Linked DNA regions of Arabidopsis thaliana. The protein of the gene in region 1 interacts with the protein of each later gene in a pairwise test. Each region holds a gene or a part of one and is shown in the gene's direction. Other genes may lie near its edges. The genes, in order: NF-YB7, NF-YC11, NF-YC6 and NF-YC7.

Region 1 (5,592 bases):
AGAGAAAGAGAGATTTGTTGGAGAGGCCTATTTGCGTCGATTAGGAATCTCTCCCTGAATTAGTATCGGCCTGCAATAGCCATTTTTTACAGACTTTGAAAATCTTAATATGATGGAAGTTGTAGTTATCTGAAAGGTTTAGAATAACTAGAGTGGAGGGTACCAACAGCGATACTGATATCCACGTAGTCTCTGTAAATGATATCATCTCCATCGATAACTGCATTTACTACAGGTTGGTGCTGGAGGTTTGACTTGAGCACCATTAAACAAGAAACTCGTATGGAAAAAATTTAAGAAATTGTTTCGGCAAAAAAACTAGTATCCAACATATCAAGTCCAATAAAAGATAAACTGCAAAAGGCTGCCTACGTACCCTTAGAAAGGGATCAAGCCACACGTAGTTCATATCGCGATAAACGAGCTAGGCCATTACTGGAGGAAGGTCGTATGTCGAGTTAGGCAGTTTTAGGGATGATCCGGCGGATAAGTGACGAGTTGAATGGCTTCTCGAGACGTGCGAGTAGGTTAGTTACTTTGGGCGGGCAAGTCGGCGAGACACTTCGGACGGACGAGTAAACGAGCTACTCAAGATGGATGGGCAAACGAGGTACTTCGGACGGGTGAGCTGACGAGCTGCTTGAGACGGGCGAGCTGATAAGCTACTTGAGACGGGCCGGCTGGCGAGATACTTCGGACGGGTGAGCTGACGAGCTGCTTGAGACGGGCGAGCTTATAAGCTACTTGAGACGGGCCGGCTGGCGAGATACTTCGGATGGGTGAGCTGACGAGCTGCTTGAGACGGGCGATCTGATGAGCTACTTGAGACGGACCGGCTGACGAGATGCTTCAGACGGGTGAGCTGACGAGCTGGTTGAGACGGGAGAGCTGACGAGCTTCTCTTTGTCTCTAAGTGTGCATATGTTTTTTTTTTTTGATCATATTGTAAACAATATAGTTTAAAACCTGATGGTGGGAATATTCCCGCTATACAACAGTATCTCAATATTTCCGGTAGAAGGAATTTTAGATTTGTCTTTCATGGTAAAAGAGAAAGATAATTGATAATGTATCCATAAGAATCCATCCACAATATAAATGTATTAATTCGTTTGTCTGATTGGATAATTCATTATCACTGGATGACATTTATATTAAGTTTTAACGTATTTGTAAACATAATTAGCTAGAATGATTTACCAAATAAACAATAGTTCAAAATACACAAAATTATTTATTTTTCTTCGCATTGTTAACTGATATCAAATGTTAGATGCACTTGAAAAAATGTTGTTATGGATGGAACAAACAAATAATATGATACAAACCACTAAAACATTCAACAGCAATATAGAGATAAGATTATCGATATGGTTAATGTATCCATATCAAACGCTTTTCATGTTGAAAGATAAAGATAATTGTTAATGTATCCATATGAATCCATCCACAACATAACTGTATTAATTCGTTTGTCTGATTGGATAATTCACTATGACTGGATGACATTTATATTAAGATTTACAAATAAACATCAATCCAAAGTACATTATCCATGTTTCTTTGACCATTTATCCACATGTATATAGACATGTTGATACAATTTTATCGAGCTATAAACATATTCGCAGCAAATCAAAGACATATTTGTCCATTAATGATTGTCCAAGCAGTCCAGTCCATGATCATCTAAAGACTCACATGATAGTTTCATACTAATACATAAGTTTATACATGAACAATAAACGTCAATCCAAAGTATATTATCCATGTTTCTTTGACCATTTATCCACATGTGTATAGACAGTCAGTTACGTAGACCTCAGTCAGTTAAGGAACTTCTCCAAATCTGCCAACATCTCTACATATTTTAATGTAGACGTAATAGGTTGGTTTGAGGATACGAGGACACCGTCAACAATGAGGAGATAAGCAAGCCGAAGTCTGTGGTAAGAAGATAAGGTCTTGTGATTAACATTTTTGAAATATCACCTAACGTAGCATTCATGTCTTCACCTATTAGCTCTTCACAATGTTGGATATTATAAATAAAATTAGCACACGGTTGAATAATTAGAGCAAATAAAATGATTGGAGAAGATTAATACCTTGCATTTGAGGACCGAGTAGAAGTTACTAGCACACGCCGGAGACGACGAATCGATTGAGAGACAAGAAAATGAAGACCATGACGGGAGAACAAGTGTTGACGACGACGACGGGAGAGGACGAATTAATGTCGGCCGATTGAAAGCTTTGTTGACGATAACGACGGGAGAGGGACGAGGAAATGACTTTGCCGGTAGAAAACTCGTTGGGATGATCGCCGGAGTCGAGATGATGTTATCGTCGTTGTGATGATTTTAACTGCCCAGATAAATGAAACTGTAAAATCGTCGTGAAGGATTGGGTGAGAAAAAGAGGTTTCTCACAAATTGGTTTTAGTTTAGAGATTGAGATTAAAAAATTAAACCGAAAACCGGCTAAATTTGTTAGGTTTTGTTAAACTAACGATTTCAGGGTAAAGGGGTAATTCTACTGAGTTAAAGTGACTAATGCTTTTAAAGTGCCTATTTGTGGCCAAAGTTTCAAAATAGTGCCTTTACGTGTAATATTCTCGGATAAATAACCACCATATATATTTACCAGGCTAGAGTTTAGGAAATTACTATAATACAATAAATCAAAGCATTATGGAGACATGATAATTTATAGTTGTCTACATACTAAATAAACATACTACGGAAAATAATAAATTGAAAACACTATTTGATGACAATATGTTACATGATTGCTATTTTCTTACACTTTTCTTTATTATCTGGCAAATAACAAAGAAAAAAAAAAAAAAAAAAAAAAAGGAGCGAGTCGCATGGAGTTCCAAATTTGGTTGGCAAGGTATCCATAAATAGAAAAGTTGCCTAGTTTCATGCACTAAGCTTAACCATAAAATCAGATTGATCACATGTGGTTAACATCAATCACAAAAAAAAACAAAGAGATAGAGATATGACTGAGGAGAGCCCAGAAGAAGATCATGGGTCTCCTGGAGTAGCTGAAACAAATCCAGGAAGCCCTTCTTCAAAGACCAACAACAACAACAACAACAACAAAGAACAAGACCGGTTTCTTCCCATTGCGAATGTCGGAAGGATCATGAAAAAAGTTCTTCCCGGTAACGGTAAGATCTCAAAAGACGCTAAAGAAACCGTTCAAGAATGTGTCTCGGAGTTCATTAGTTTCGTCACTGGTGAAGCTTCTGACAAGTGTCAAAGAGAAAAGAGGAAGACCATCAATGGAGATGATATCATTTGGGCTATCACAACTCTCGGTTTCGAAGACTACGTGGCTCCATTAAAGGTCTACCTCTGCAAATATAGAGACACCGAAGGAGAGAAAGTTAACAGCCCAAAACAACAACAACAAAGACAACAACAACAGCAGATTCAACAACAGAATCATCATAATTATCAGTTTCAAGAACAAGACCAAAACAATAACAACATGTCATGTACTAGTTACATCTCTCATCATCATCCTTCTCCATTCCTACCAGTGGATCATCAACCTTTTCCCAATATTGCTTTCTCTCCTAAATCATTGCAGAAACAGTTCCCGCAGCAGCATGATAATAACATTGATTCAATTCACTGGTGAGAGAGACATTTGCTTTTTTTCTTCTTTCTTTTCACATATTATATGCTTTTCTTTACCTTTTGTGAGTACATCTTGATGCTTATATATATTTGTTGCTATATAGACACTAGACACGTACATTTTGATATTTTCAGTATACCCATGGTTTTGTGTAACAGAAATTCGTCTTCATATATTTTCCGGATTAGTTCGTCTCGAGCAAATATAGCAATCTCTCATGATTTACAACAGTAGAAACTAATTCCATGCTGCTAATTGGATTAGAATACTTACCACCTACGGTTTGAGAGTTAGTGGTCTAGCTTATAAGGTTTCCAGTAGAGAATAGCTTAATTGGAAGAGAATGGTGTATTGTTTCTCATTCATTTACTCATGTTATGATTGATAAAGATGATTGCTTGAATTAAAGAACTTCAAATTGTTCCTCACTCACTACTCTTAGTATCTTGACCTGAAACTATAAGTTATAAAAGTAAATGCATTTCTAATACGATGTATGTAAAATGTTGCTGCTATGAATCTGATTGAATATAACTTCTTTTTTACATATAAATAAGAGAAAGTGGAAGCTATGAATCTGATTGGATAACAAACAACCCAATTATATATTTTTTTTTTTTTTACATAAGAACAAGAGAAAGCAGTAGCTATGAATTTGATTGGGTATAAAGCAACCCCAATTATAAATTTTTACATATAAATAAGAGAAAGTAGACTTATTCATTTTGGGAACCAAACTTAGTCATCCTTGTAGACCAAAGTCGGGTACTCTGGATTCCACATGTTGTTTTCCACATACTCCATCAGCCCCTCCTGCGGAATACACAAGACCGCGTCAACATAACTAACATTTAGGCTTAGTTTCTGGTTTAGTCTTTATTTTCTCTAAGTGAGAAATCAGGTAAACACTCTTCTGTTCTTTACATATAATCAAACCCGATCGACATTCTTCGTAGAATACGATTTTATGATCAGGAGTCCAAAACACGTGAAAGATGGGATGTTGTTTTGACATCTTTTCTTTTTCTATCATTTATGATTATATTAAAGCAAGTCATTAGCTGAATTGTTACCTCATCCAGCTTTTGGATCTCTCGAGCGTCCATTTCTCTATATCCTTCAACCAAATCCTCCTCAATCGCTTCCTTAATCACCGCAGCTGCTATTCTTTTTGTTATGTCTCGTATCCTGAAATTTCAATTCCACATGCCAAATGTAGCAACTATATCAAAACATTTTCTTATGTAACAGTAAGGATGTTCTTTGATTGTGTTACTCTTACCTTGATATTGGAGGGTATATAATCCCCTCTAGCACTTCTTCTTCGCTCATGTATGCTGCTAGGCTGCAGTAGTTTAGCAGAACAATGTCATGATTCCACATTCATAAATTACGGGACTTGTTTATTTTCATGGTCTCCTTAAAAATATGAGTTTTACACTAACTACAATATGAAACCTCAACCGAAGGCCTACTATTGGGAATACCATTTGGAGAGAACATGTCGAACTACTGTGGTTCCTGTCTCGTGGATGGGGGGTATGTTATAGTTCGTGACATCAGCCAAATATGCGGACATTCTTAATAATCATTTAAATTTGGTCCGTAGTTATATATCATGGTACTCACTTCAGCTTTAGTTGAGAATAAATCAGGAATGATAAATGAAAAAGGTAAAGAAAGGAGCTTACCACTCGGATGCGGCCTGAAGCATCCCGTCGGAGACAATGGGAGCACCAGATAAAAGAGTGCCAAGTCCAATACTACAATAAATTTTACAGGATTAGAAAATCAATTTATTTCATGACAATTAATGTATCAATTCAAGAATGTATGCAATTCTTTCGGACAATAAACAAGAGGAACCAACCCTGGAAATAGATACATGTTGTTTCCCTGGTTGCAATGTCCTACATGACCATTTCCTGCCACAAG
Region 2 (6,918 bases), on another chromosome or scaffold:
TTGACTATTCCAAATTCCGACGAACGTGTTATCTCGATCCGCGAGGAAATTACGGAGGACCTGCGGGACGCGTTCACAGTAACGGAGTTGGATGATGATACATCGATTACCAACGCATAGCTGCAGAGTATCCGCCGGAGGATCGGAGCTATAGAAAACCGGTGGAGAATCGGAGCGATAACTGTCCGGAGAAGAATCGGAACGATAACTAACCGGTGGAGAAGCAGGGTGGTAACCAGAGGGTGTCCACTGAACGCCGACTCCAACGACGAGAGGGTGAGAAGAGAGACGGTTGTGGAAGAAGACGTCGTGAATCCATTGGCCGATGACGGAAGGATCCGGCGTTACGGTGACGAAAAGCTCTTCTCCAAAGAAATCGACTGAGTACCTTTGCTGAGTAGCGTAAGATCCGATGGTTCTGATTGTCGGAGCCATTGATTTTGCCTTCAGTTTTTCAAGCAGAGATAATGATGAAACTGCTTTCTTCTCCTTTTGCAATCGTCGGAGGCTAGTTAAATTGTAGTACTGGTGCTCGCTATCACCATTGATCTTTTTGAAAATAAATGCAGTTAAATTTGGACGGTTGAGATGCAGTGTGACGTCATTAACCTACGCCAAACCTTAATGGTTATTACTGATTTGAATTCAAAAAGAATTTCTTATAAAGATCTCGAAATTTGAATTATGGAGAATATTTTGAGTATAGTTTATCAGATTACGTTAGCTAATGTTATATACTCCTAAAAATTAGTATTATCCTAAATCAAGATTAGGATTGATAAACGCATCTCAGTTGTAAACTCGTATCCTTGATCTTGCTTGAGGTTATATCCAGTTTAAAAATCGGAAATCATTTAACTGGGTGCAAAAACATTTGATTGACCAATTTGGTACGTCGTGATTTTTTTTGTCCCATGTCAAATTAAACAAAATTGATAATATAATTCATCAAAGCGTATTTGTTTTTAATCAAAACGTTAGATAGTCTTTTAATATCAATGCCTTTATTACAAACGTAGTCTACATGTACTAATTTTCCAGTCAACATTCATAGTCACAAAATACGATAACATGAAAACTTTCATGAATTAGAAGAAGACGTTGATTGATAAAGAGAGAAGAACAACAACAAATTCAAATCACAAGATTAGCAGCAACTTTTAAGTTCCAGAGACGTTCCTCAACAGCGAGCTTAAAGCAAACATACGACTCAATCGACGCCTGAAGTACCTGATAATGGTTAAGGTTATAAACGCCCCAATCGCTCATACAAATCGCCGGATCTAACCTCACTCCTACGCGACCCAAACGCTCCTTCACGATCTGTTCAAACGAACAAAAACACATCCTAGCCCCTCTCGAATCTCTCACGAACATCCTTATGTCCAGAAGCTTCCCGATCTCCACTCGATGCCTACATTTCTCGAGTTTTTTCTGGTCTTGGCCGTTCCAAACGCCGACGAAAGTCGTTTTGGGATCGGCAAGGAAAGTGCGGAGGACTTTTGGGAGACCGTAATTGTAACCTAGTTGGATGATGAGACAGCGACTACCGACGCACAACTGGAGAGTTTTTGGTGGTGGATCTGGATCGGAACTATCCGGTCTCCACTGAACACCGATTCCAACGACGAGAGGATGTACCGAGTGATTACGGTTGTAGGAGCGGACGCTACGAATCCAGCGGCGGATAACGGAAGCAGTCGGCGTAACGGTGACGATCAAGTCGTCTCCGAAAAAATCGACAAAGTGTTTTTGGTGAGTACGGAAACTTCTGATTCTTTTGATCGTCGGAGCCATTGATCTGTCTTCTTCTTCCTTTCTCTAAATTTTTGAGCGAGTGTTAGAAAGAGAAGCGGTTTCTTTTTCTTGTTATAGGGTACATTTTTGTTTCTAGTTATAATCACCGTCGATCTTTGTAGTTTTAATCGTACGGTTGACAATGGAGATGCATGTACTGTCACATCGTCAGGCCTATCATAGATGTATACGCAAAACATTTACTAATTACTGTATTTTACGGCTCTGAATTTTTATTTTTATTTCCATAAAGGTTTGATGAAGACATGGAATATAATACTTTTTTACGTACTTCTTTTTACTAAAATAGTTTATTCAGTTATTTGGGGGCTTAATTAGGTAGATAACCATAACCTTTTTTTGTGTGTTTTTTTCACGAACAATGATTCACTGATGTAAAATCATAATTACTGATGAAGTTAACTTTCAACGTATAACGCTATGACGCAATTACTCTTGATATTTTTTCCTATATATTGGTTTGACAAAATTTTGTAACTTTAAATATAACTTCTGAAAAAATAAAAAAGTTGTAAATATAAATTCCACAACATTTTGTTTGGAACTTTGGATACATAGGCCACTTTGTTTTATCACACTTTATAATAAAGGTGGTTTCTGTTTTTTTTTTCTAAAATTCGACAGTTTGGTTTATAAGTATCTAAATTCAACTTGAAGACAAATAATTCTAACTTTATTTTATTTAAATTGTGATAAAAAAAAGTAACCCAAAACATATTTTTTGGTTCAGGCATATGTGTTACAACTTACAAGGATGCATTATCCTCAAACAAAATCCAATAAATAAAAAATAGAGAAGGTGGATGAAGATCTAAGAATTAATACTGTCACGAGAAAACGTATACAATCCACTAATACATAGCCACGTGTATGGTTAGATCTTTTCAAACAATCCGATTATATTTTGTGCTCCGCCGTATATTTATAACTAACATTACTTAATTAAATAACCATGTCGTCGACCCATTTTTTTTCTTTGACCCAAAACTTTAATTTGATTATATATATTTAATTTTAATTTTTCCATCGCACGGAGATTGTAACAAGGAAACCGCCGTCGCCGGATCTGATAGTGCATATCCATGAAGTAGAAGACGAAGAAACTTACTTTCTGATCTTAGAACGGAGTATATGTACAGAAGATTCGCGTCCCTCAATTTTTGATCTCAAGGGTCGGGTTTACCTTTTTTTCCTTCTTATTTTTGGTGGCTTTGCGTTTTCTCATTCGACGATTTCTGGATTTGGGGATTTCAAAACCATGAGGAAGAAGCTCGATACTCGGTTCCCAGCTGTAAGTTTTTCGTCTCTAATTGATCATTTCTGAAATTGAAGTCCAATTTCTCGGAAATTACTTTGATCTGTTGTTTTTCAGATCGAATTTCCAACACTATTTGGGATTAGATTAGTGTTCTACGATGAAAATTAGATTAAGTATCTCATTTCTGGCGAATTAGTTTTAGCAAATGACCTAGTAGTCAATTTCACCCTAATTTTTGTTGTGCTTGTTATATAGCTATAGTAATATGTGTTATGAAGATCCGCTATGGAATGTTTCATGTAAATTAGAGAATTCGAGAATTTAGGTGACTAGTGCTCGAAACGTGTTCTTTATCAACAAACCAGTCAGCTATTGGTTAGATAGTGTTGATTGAAGCAGGGATGTTATACACGAATTGTTTTTTCATAGGCTTGGAACTTTTTGTAGAGCTTCCAATTTGGCTAGCTAGATTTTGTTTAGCTTTATTGAATAAAACGTCAGATGATTTCATAAGTTGGTTATTGTTGATGGTGGTTTATTTTGTTTGAGCTGAGGCTAGAATATTAGTTTTTCACAGATTTTGACTTTCCATTTAATTTGTTAATATATTTTTGTTTGTATAATCTGATTGGTGATTGTACAGAGCGTGCTTGGTGTTTCTCAGTTCTACCATTTGCTTTATAATTCGTTTAGTAGTCTGTAATTATTGCCACACACACTGTGTGATGGTTGCTGTTTCTTCATTTGATGCATATATTACAATTTTTCAGGCTCGTATTAAAAAGATTATGCAAGCTGATGAGGATGTTGGCAAGATAGCTTTGGCAGTGCCTGTCTTAGTCTGTAAGTCATCTTGCTATCATTGACTTCAGTTTGAAAAGAGAATTATTGGAAACTTTACCCTTTGGCTAAATTTCATGTTCTCTTATTACAGCAAAATCTTTGGAGTTGTTCTTGCAAGACCTTTGTGATCGTACATATGAAATTACCCTTGAAAGAGGTGCCAAGACTGTGAGCTCATTGCACCTGTAAGTAACAGATTGGTTTACCTTTATTTTTGCTTTAACTCTGCATGCTAGCATCGTCATTATCTAAAGAGCATGAAAGGTTTCACTTGAATGCATTTTAAATTCTAGAGCTTTCAGATGTTGTAATTATTGATATTGTGGTTTAAGAGTTAACATGATGTTGTTAAGCGGAATAGCTTCCAACTCATAGGGCCTATTTTCACTGCATCCAACACCGAGAGGATGTTGTTTACTGTTACAGAATTTTATACCACAAATTTGGGATAAAGTTCTTATTTTTGCTCATCCATGTTTATCAAAGTGCTTTGTTGTTTACAGAAAACATTGTGTGGAAAGATATAACGTGTTTGATTTTCTGAGGGAAGTTGTGAGTAAGGTGCCTGACTATGGCCATTCCCAAGGGCAAGGACATGGTGATGTTACCATGGATGATCGCAGCATCTCCAAGAGAAGGTTGGATGTTTGATCTCTTAGTTCCATATGTTCTAGTTCTTTGTTTATAGTCCGTGTCAAGCTGATGTGAGATGGTTTATCAAAACAGGAAGCCCATCAGCGATGAAGTGAATGACAGTGACGAGGAATATAAGAAAAGCAAAACGGTGAGCTCGTGTTCTTCTTGAAATATTATACTTCATCATTCATTTGGTGTCTATTCCCAGCTCCTTAGATTCATTGAATATATTGGTAATCACTGCAGCAAGAGATAGGGAGTGCTAAGACCAGTGGCAGGGGTGGTAGAGGAAGAGGGCGAGGAAGAGGTCGTGGTGGACGAGCTGCAAAAGCAGCCGAAAGAGAGGGTCTCAACCGCGAGATGGAAGTAGAAGCCGCCAATTCTGGACAGCCACCACCAGAAGACAATGTCAAGATGCATGCGTCAGAGTCATCACCACAAGAGGATGAGAAGAAAGGCATCGACGGCACAGCAGCATCGAACGAAGACACCAAGCAACACCTTCAAAGTCCCAAAGAAGGCATTGACTTTGATCTCAACGCTGAATCCCTCGACCTAAACGAGACCAAACTGGCACCAGCCACAGGCACAACCACAACCACAACTGCAGCAACAGACTCTGAGGAGTATTCGGGCTGGCCTATGATGGACATAAGCAAAATGGATCCAGCACAGCTTGCTAGTCTGGGTAAGAGGATAGACGAGGATGAGGAAGATTATGACGAAGAAGGCTAAGTCATAACAGCACTATAGGATATATAGAGTAGCAGCGTTTAGCAGTTTGTCTAGAAAATGCTTCTTCTGTCATCAAAATCTTCTCCTGTTTCCATTTATTGTATGAACCAAAGATTGCATGCACTCTATGAAACTTAATTTATTCTCCTGATTTGTTATTTAAGGTTTTAGAGTTTTACATCAGAAGTTAAAATATCTTACAGAGTAAGTAAACACTCAAAAGTACATAAACAAAGGAGAGGGACTAGTCATGGTGTTGCTCCGCGTGGTTGAGATGAAGAGCACCTTCATGGTTCTTGTGAACTTCCACCTTGAACTTTTCCTCTTTTTCTCCCCTCTTCAACTTCAGTAGCATGTTGTATTTTGCAGCCTCGCCGGTTACCTGTGTCCATGTTTTTAATATTAAGCTCATTAATCTTGTAATCACCAACTATTACAACTCAGACGTTAGTCCTCATACCAAGGAGAACCAATATGTTGCTTAAAGTCTTTTCTACTTCTAAAACTTCAACACCATTCGGTTTCACTGACACTTGATTTCGTTTATTTGCAATTTCTCAGATGAAATTCATGCAAAAACATTGTCAAAATCTGACAAGTTCTCTATTGAAATTCATTTTGTGCAATTAAGATCGAAGATAGAGTATATAGTAAATTAAAGCCATACCTCAGCTTTAGCATGCACAACCTCCAGAAGTTCATAAGGGAACAAGGAGTTAGACCTCTGCTGAATGGTCTTGACAGCCTGCTCAGCAACATGCTTCACTTCTGGATCATCTCCGGGAACTTCCCTCCATCCAGATTCATGTTCACCTGATCCACAAAACCCAATTTTCATAACCAAACTCTTTCCTAACCCACAATCTCTGACTTGCTACATATATATCCCCTGACATTATAATGTTCTTATCAGTAACTACTCAAATTCACACCTTGCTTGCAGCCAAGATCGGAGGAAGTGATAGCAGGGGCATCACTGGCAGGCTTGAACTCCTGTAACTCTTTAAAGTTCAACCACGGCTTGACCCACACTTTGGCTTCGTAAAGCTTCTTCTGTCCTGCCTCGAGAATCTCCAGAGTCAGGTGATGCAGTGTTCCGGCTACAACTTGTTCTTTCGCCTTCACAACTCTCGCAAACTCAAGAAGTGCATTCTACGACGACCAAAGACAGAACAAACCAAAAAATCAATCAATCAATCAATCCCACAACATGAACGCATTTCATCACCGAATAATATACACTCTCTAAGATCTGCTGGTAACTGAAATTGAGATCAATAGAGAAACTCCGGACAAAATTAGTCTAATCGTGTTCTGGATCAAGACTATAATAGCATAAAACACACATATCGAGACGAGAGATGTGAAAAAATCGAAGATGATGAGAGATTTGGAACCTCTTTCTTGTTGTGTTCATCGACAGCGAAACGAGCGAGGCTCTCAACCTCACCACTGTTCTGATTAGCAGGGACATCGCCAACACCTCCGACTAAAGCCATCTCTTCGTTGCAGAAGCCTAAATCACTGGCGATCAGAGAGGAAATGAAGAGGGATAGAGAGAAGAAAACAATGAAGAGTAAGAAACGGCTTCTCATCATTCTCACCTTTATTTGGTTCGGTGCCCTGTA
Region 3 (3,120 bases), on another chromosome or scaffold:
AGATTACATTCTAGAGGCAACAAGATCCAGAGATCTAGCAAAAAAAACTTATTTTGAAACCTGAATCTATTTTAAAAATTTTCCAACTCATTTTTCGTTCTTATTCTTTGTTTTCCAACGGAATTTGGCGCACAAACGATTTATTTGAATTTTGTCTTTCAAGAAATTTTAGCGCGGTTTTAGCGAACTCTTATGAGGAAGTTATTAATTGAATTATTTTTGTTTTTGTTTTTTCTAATTATCATTTCTATATATTTCTCTAACTCTCGAGTAAATAATTCATTTTGTATACTTGTTTTTGTTTTTAATTACATTGTTTAAAACTTATTTACAATTACTTACCTTTAAGAAATAATTGTTATTTCTAAATAAACAAAAAGTAGTGTCGATTTAGTATCTTATATTTAGTTTAAAATAAATCATAAATTCAACTAATACTCATTGTCACTAATCCAATATATATTATAGTATATGAAAACATGAAATAAAATTCTTATATCATATTTTTTTAATTTTTATACTTAAATAAAATCTAAAATTTCATTAAAATTCTTTTGATTTTAAGTTATGCTTAAGTTTATACGATTTATAAAACTAAAATTAGATAAGTTATTTATATATCAGTTTGATATACTTTGTACCTAATTAAACTAAAATTATTTAATTAATTAAGTTAAAACATGTCAAATTTTATATAAGAACGAATTAATGAATAATTTTAAATTCTTAAATACATTAAATTAAATAATTAGTGTAATTAATATGTTGTTATGACATTGTCACTCTCTCTAGTATTGATGTATCGGAAAGATGGAAAAAGTTGGACAACTTTCATATATATGATTCTCATGATTCGATACTTGGTTGGTTCACCAGATCGTGTGTCAAAGACGATTTTTATGGGACTCTTTGGGTTTTAAGATTGTCAAATGTTAACACTAAACCCAAATAGAAGAAATGTCCGAATTGTGGGTTAACCGGTAGTATTGTACGGTCCGGGTTGGATATAAAAACATTGATTAATTGTTTTATAACATGGAATATCATCAACATAATAAAAAGTTATAAAATAATTTATGAAAAATTAAGTATTACTTTATTATATTTCAATTTTACATATTACAAAAACTAAATATTACTTTTATGGGTGGCTACACTAAGATTTACTTCCTTGTATTATTTATCATTTAGAAAAAAAAAATCTTTGCCAAAAAAAAAAAGAAAAAATGTTTAATGTTTGGATTTCTTACCCAAAAAAAGGAAAGAAAAAATATTTAATGTGTGGATTTCTTACCCAAAACGGTGTCAAAATTCAATATTTGTAGCACTATACAACTAGAAAAAATTAAATGTATGAAATCTTTGCAAAAAATTGTTGACTTTCAATTTCGTTTCATTATACGAAAATAACTTCTTAACAACATTTTTTACCTTTCAATTTTATAGGGAATCAGATATCTTTAGCTTTCTCATCTTAATATGGATTAAAAAAAAATCTTTCACCATTTTCTTTTTCATTTTAATAATAATAACCAGTCACACACATAAGTCACAATTATAATTATTCTCACAAAAAAAGCCATAATAATAAAGAAAATATTATATGTGTAAAGATTCACATTTGACTGCTTTAAAGCCATCTACGCTTTTAGGTTTCCTTTAAATATATGCCAGCCAAACCCTCCGATAAAAATCTCACTTCCAACATCCAAATCCCTAGAAATTGTAAATGGCTGAGAACAACAACAACAACGGCGACAACATGAACAACGACAACCACCAGCAACCACCGTCGTACTCGCAGCTGCCGCCGATGGCATCATCCAACCCTCAGTTACGTAATTACTGGATTGAGCAGATGGAAACCGTCTCGGATTTCAAAAACCGTCAGCTTCCATTGGCTCGAATTAAGAAGATCATGAAGGCTGATCCAGATGTGCACATGGTCTCCGCAGAGGCTCCGATCATCTTCGCAAAGGCTTGCGAAATGTTCATCGTTGATCTCACGATGCGGTCGTGGCTCAAAGCCGAGGAGAACAAACGCCACACGCTTCAGAAATCGGATATCTCCAACGCAGTGGCTAGCTCTTTCACCTACGATTTCCTTCTTGATGTTGTCCCTAAGGACGAGTCTATCGCCACCGCTGATCCTGGCTTTGTGGCTATGCCACATCCTGACGGTGGAGGAGTACCGCAATATTATTATCCACCGGGAGTGGTGATGGGAACTCCTATGGTTGGTAGTGGAATGTACGCGCCATCGCAGGCGTGGCCAGCAGCGGCTGGTGACGGGGAGGATGATGCTGAGGATAATGGAGGAAACGGCGGCGGAAATTGAAGTGTAGATTTAGGGTTTGTAACCGCCTATGTGGGAAATTTGAAATTTGGTGGTGTTTATTAGGGTTCTTCAATTCGTCGGATTTGCTTTCATGTAAACAATGTGTGGAAGGCAAATTGTTTTTTTTAGTAGACTTGTAAGCGCTTTTCTGAGAATTTGATTGTCTTTTGGAGTTAGTCTCTTACATAATATCTTGTTCTAAAATCCTCCGCCTAACACCGGTTACTCTCCGTTTAATCGCTAAGTCCATCATATCCGGTTACTCTCCGCTTAATCGTTAAGTCCATTCTATCCATGATTAATGACTAATCCCTTAAAAAATCACTCATTCGATTACTCTCCTTCTAATCCGATTACAAATTAATTATTTTTTTAAAGTAATATTAAGGGCCCCATTTCATGTAAAAGTTTTTTTCTCCAAATATATTGGGCCATTTATTAGATATTTTCAGTCAAATTAATTTTTTTATAAAATATGGCCTTTTTAAAAAATAATTCAGAAAAAATCATGGAATCATGGGCTACTGCCCTTTTGCCCATCCTATTTGGGCCGAGCTTGTTATCATCAACCTCGACCCAATGGGTGAGTCGTAAGGTGTGAGGGTCAAGACTTTTTTTATTTTTGAAGTAAAATTGATATATAAAAAACCCATATTTTATAAAACAACTTATAATTAGCCCAAAATTATAGTTCAAAACCCCATTTTTTGTTTTAAAAATAATAAGCCTGATTTTGTTTTTTAAATAAAGCTTTTTATAGCAAAAACAAATTGGGTAACCTT
Region 4 (4,551 bases), on another chromosome or scaffold:
TTACTCTCCTTCTAATCCGATTACAAATTAATTATTTTTTTAAAGTAATATTAAGGGCCCCATTTCATGTAAAAGTTTTTTTCTCCAAATATATTGGGCCATTTATTAGATATTTTCAGTCAAATTAATTTTTTTATAAAATATGGCCTTTTTAAAAAATAATTCAGAAAAAATCATGGAATCATGGGCTACTGCCCTTTTGCCCATCCTATTTGGGCCGAGCTTGTTATCATCAACCTCGACCCAATGGGTGAGTCGTAAGGTGTGAGGGTCAAGACTTTTTTTATTTTTGAAGTAAAATTGATATATAAAAAACCCATATTTTATAAAACAACTTATAATTAGCCCAAAATTATAGTTCAAAACCCCATTTTTTGTTTTAAAAATAATAAGCCTGATTTTGTTTTTTAAATAAAGCTTTTTATAGCAAAAACAAATTGGGTAACCTTACATCTCTAATTTTATTTGGGATGGGGCTGATTATCATCACAAGGACTATGCATAAATGTTTTCAATAACTCCATATCAATAAAAAATAATCTGGTTTGATTGCTTTTATCCAGCTAACTAAATTTCACACCAAATGTTGAACTCATCATTGTTTTTTCTAGATTTTGCATGATTCGTTTGTTCAAGTAATCAGGTTCGACTTTCGATTAAAGCCTAAAAATCTCATGAAACAAAGGTTTTAGGCAAAGAACTCTCTATATAAATATATAGGCGCATCATTTCATAAAAAGTTTATTTCCGAAAAGTTGATGGATATCCGCTTTAGGTGACCAGTTCGATCCTAATTTCCTAACTTTTGTAATTTCTTTTTAACAGGTGACGGCAAATTATGTTTGGACCGGCCCTAAAAGTAGTAATTATTTCCTTTAAAAATAATATCTAAGGTTAAGAGAAACATATTCTTTACATAAACAATATCTTTGGATGTTTAAATTTTAAGCTTGATATTTTAACGAACTTTGGCGCGAAAACCATCTATTCAAATATCTCTTTCCACCACTTGTGTTTTCATTGATTTGGAATTGTTATCTGCATTGAGATATCTTTGAATGATGAAACATGTTCCTTTGCTACCTTTAAATTAATGCTTCAGATTAGATCGGTCTCATGCACAAGACAAATTGACATACATATTTGCATCTTTGAAATGCTGACAATATTTGCAATCTCCTAAGAATGATAACACAAAGAAGCAGGCCAAGCATTGGATTTTAAGTACACAACTATAGCTTTTTCACTCGAAGCCAAAGTCACCTTATCTATGCGGAAACTCCACATACTTTCCATTGCGCATTAGAAAATTCTCAGTTTGGTATCTTCCCACTAATTACCACTCCAAGGCACCACTTATAGTTTTCTTCTTTGACTAATCAGATCTTGGGCACAAAACCATTGACGACATTCCTCATATGCTAGCTTTCACATACTTCCCTAAATTGGTTAGTATAAAATCCACCTTATCTAAAGCTATAGTTGACTAATAGCTTTCACCTTATCTAAATTTTATAAGTTTTAAAATTTATAAAATCCAAAAAGTATTGGTTAACAAAAATTTATAATGAATAGAAAGTGAGGTTTTGTATTTTGGGATTTCACATATATTAGTAAATATTGTATAACACAAAACAAAATATTAATAAAAAATAAATTTTATTTTTGAGAAAATAGTTGGGCTGATTTCGTAGCCCACTTAATCAGCCTTTAAATATGGAAACCCTAGCCTAGAAAGTGAACAAGAAAAACGTAAAGATCAAAATGGAAGAGAACAACGGCAACAACAACCACTACCTGCCGCAACCATCGTCTTCCCAACTGCCGCCGCCACCATTGTATTATCAATCAATGCCGTTGCCGTCATATTCACTGCCGCTGCCGTACTCACCGCAGATGCGGAATTATTGGATTGCGCAGATGGGAAACGCAACTGATGTTAAGCATCATGCGTTTCCACTAACCAGGATAAAGAAAATCATGAAGTCCAACCCGGAAGTGAACATGGTCACTGCAGAGGCTCCGGTCCTTATATCGAAGGCCTGTGAGATGCTCATTCTTGATCTCACAATGCGATCGTGGCTTCATACCGTGGAGGGCGGTCGCCAAACTCTCAAGAGATCCGATACGCTCACGAGATCCGATATCTCCGCCGCAACGACTCGTAGTTTCAAATTTACCTTCCTTGGCGACGTTGTCCCAAGAGACCCTTCCGTCGTTACCGATGATCCCGTGCTACATCCGGACGGTGAAGTACTTCCTCCGGGAACGGTGATAGGATATCCGGTGTTTGATTGTAATGGTGTGTACGCGTCACCGCCACAGATGCAGGAGTGGCCGGCGGTGCCTGGTGACGGAGAGGAGGCAGCTGGGGAAATTGGAGGAAGCAGCGGCGGTAATTGAAAAGTGTTGATTGGGTTTTAGGGTTGTAATGCTTTTGTGAGAATTTGTATCTCTATCGAGTCATGTTTGTTGTTGTTGTTGTTATTATGTTTTGCTTTCGTTAATGTCATGTGTTCTGTTGTTGTTGGTGTTATGTGTAGTCTTCCATGTGAAATATCACATAGAAGACTAAACATAACATCAACAACACCAAAACACATGGCATTAACGAAAGCAAATGGAAGACAATGGAATTTTAGTTAACTCTTATTTTCTTCTTTGCTTTAGATTAGTTTATGCCAAAGAATCACCAAAATATTCGCAGTTCATTACGAAAAAACACAATGAACTAGGCATAAATGTCAATTACCATAAAAAACATATACTACTAGCTCCATCTTCTAGTTATCCTTTATGAAAGTAGAAAATCCCCATGGCTCATGGTATTAATTTTGTATACGTTGTGAATATGTAGGCATCATGATCTTAGGATCTAGTAAGAGATCTTTTTGAATCCCGAATCTATGTTCGTAAATTTTCCAGCATTTTGATTTTAAAATGGATTTTCGCGTGAAAGTTATACTCCGGTTTTATTATGCAACGAAATTTTACTTGCAAACCGCTGATATATTATTCCAGTTTTCTCAATTTGGCATGAGTTGTTTCTCACATAGTATATTTCGTTTTCAAGATATGAACATCTAATGTGTAAAAGATCTATTGAAAATATAGTTGTGGAACACCTTGAAAATTGTTGTGGATAACAAGTGTTCGTAAAACAAACATTGTTCGTAACGACCAATTAGGAGCCACATAATAAAACCAAATATTTTCACTTCGTAATCATTAGATAAAAAAAAATCTTTGAATATTTACTTTTTTTTTAAGCAATAAATCTTTCTTCTTATGAAAAGATAGAAAACAATCTAGACAATTTAATTTTTAGAAGCAATAAATCCTTCTGTTTATGAAAAGGGTCCTCACTCTTATATATATACTTGGTTTCATTTTCTTTTTACTTTAAATGGCTACATTAAAGAGTAGCCAGAAAACATAAATAAAAACTCCAAAACACTACTTTCTCGGTTTTATATTATAAGTTGTTTTAGCCAAATTATTTTGATTCTTAACATAAGATGTTTTAGACAAATAATTCAAATTTCTATGCAAGCGTAGAATTTATATACTTTTATGACTATATATATATTATGCAGTAACGAATTTCATTGGCCAAACTCACTTTAATTAACTAAATATTAAATTATGTTTTTAATTTAGAAAAAATATATAAAAAGATAAATTAATTATTTAAACTTTGTGTTTAAACATCATATTTTTTTAAACAATGGGAGTACCATAGTTACCGTTAATTTAGAGAGAAAAAGTTCTTATTTAAAACTTCAAATGTATTCGTTTTATGAGTTTCTAAAAAAACCAACTAAAGATTTTGAGTATGGAGGAAACAACGGCAAAAACTGAAGTGTGGTTTGTAATTTAAGATTTCTAACCGCTTTCGTGAGAATTTGAATTACTTTTCAAGTTATGTTTTTGAATTTAAAGTGTGTAATGTTAGGACCTAAAGACTTGAATTTCCAAATATATTCAAAAAAAAAAATGTTATGATTTTTATTGTGAAAATGGAGAGTGAAGGCAAGTTGTTAGGCATAAAATATGTAGAACAAACAATATGTATTCCTTAAAAAAGGATAAACACTTTGAAGATTTGAAGAAACGAATTTTGGATGCTTCTAGATTTTCAGAATGGATAAAATTCAAAAGAATATGCAACACTCAATTCATATCTCAAAGAGAATGAGGAAAAACTGAGGTATTCTCTATGTTAAGATAAGGAGGCAATAAAGGAGGAAGAGACATAAAATCCTAGAAAAACAATATTGTTCAACAATTGAAATTTTTTCAAACAATCATTCAAGACCTACAGATACAGTATAAATTTATTCTATTGTCAGAAACATGACCATCTAGTAGTATTAGTAGATGAATATGCATATGGCGATCATTGCTTTGATGATCTGAATAAAATCACACTCTTTCTGTTAGTTTCAAATGCTGGAGACTTAAGTTTCTTTACAAATAGATAAATTATCTACTACATCGTTGAATAGAAGTTGAGGAGTAACCAAAACATTTAGTTGAGGAAGTTGTAAC

Evidence for each region.
Region 2: the proteins of NF-YB7 (region 1) and NF-YC11 interact in a two-hybrid assay, tested with the Arabidopsis thaliana proteins (2 studies listed by BioGRID).
Region 3: the proteins of NF-YB7 (region 1) and NF-YC6 interact in a two-hybrid assay, tested with the Arabidopsis thaliana proteins (2 studies listed by BioGRID).
Region 4: the proteins of NF-YB7 (region 1) and NF-YC7 interact in binary tests that used the Arabidopsis thaliana proteins (3 or more experiments, as listed by UniProt).

Annotation. Positions count from the first base shown.
Region 1 is NC_003071.7:5,653,907-5,659,498, reverse strand, and holds NF-YB7 (nuclear factor Y, subunit B7), read left to right. Parts: upstream 1-2,980; 5' UTR 2,981-3,009; coding exon 3,010-3,657; 3' UTR 3,658-4,108; downstream 4,109-5,592. Other genes in the region: NAD-ME1 (NAD-dependent malic enzyme 1), read right to left, coding at 4,396-4,470, 4,731-4,845, 4,940-5,002, 5,349-5,420, 5,528-5,582.
Region 2 is NC_003074.8:3,954,989-3,961,906, forward strand, and holds NF-YC11 (nuclear factor Y, subunit C11), read left to right. Parts: upstream 1-2,774; 5' UTR 2,775-3,076; coding exon 3,077-3,109; intron 3,110-3,846; coding exon 3,847-3,919; intron 3,920-4,010; coding exon 4,011-4,104; intron 4,105-4,422; coding exon 4,423-4,557; intron 4,558-4,645; coding exon 4,646-4,703; intron 4,704-4,801; coding exon 4,802-5,290; 3' UTR 5,291-5,484; downstream 5,485-6,918. Other genes in the region: AT3G12460 (Polynucleotidyl transferase, ribonuclease H-like superfamily protein), read right to left, coding at 1-435; AT3G12470 (Polynucleotidyl transferase, ribonuclease H-like superfamily protein), read right to left, coding at 1,135-1,797; CYSB (cystatin B), read right to left, coding at 5,535-5,672, 5,958-6,103, 6,223-6,442, 6,688-6,888.
Region 3 is NC_003076.8:20,557,074-20,560,193, reverse strand, and holds NF-YC6 (nuclear factor Y, subunit C6), read left to right. Parts: upstream 1-1,706; 5' UTR 1,707-1,729; coding exon 1,730-2,338; 3' UTR 2,339-2,620; downstream 2,621-3,120. UniProt on the Arabidopsis thaliana protein: Stimulates the transcription of various genes by recognizing and binding to a CCAAT motif in promoters.
Region 4 is NC_003076.8:20,552,972-20,557,522, reverse strand, and holds NF-YC7 (nuclear factor Y, subunit C7), read left to right. Parts: upstream 1-1,764; coding exon 1,765-2,403; downstream 2,404-4,551. UniProt on the Arabidopsis thaliana protein: Stimulates the transcription of various genes by recognizing and binding to a CCAAT motif in promoters.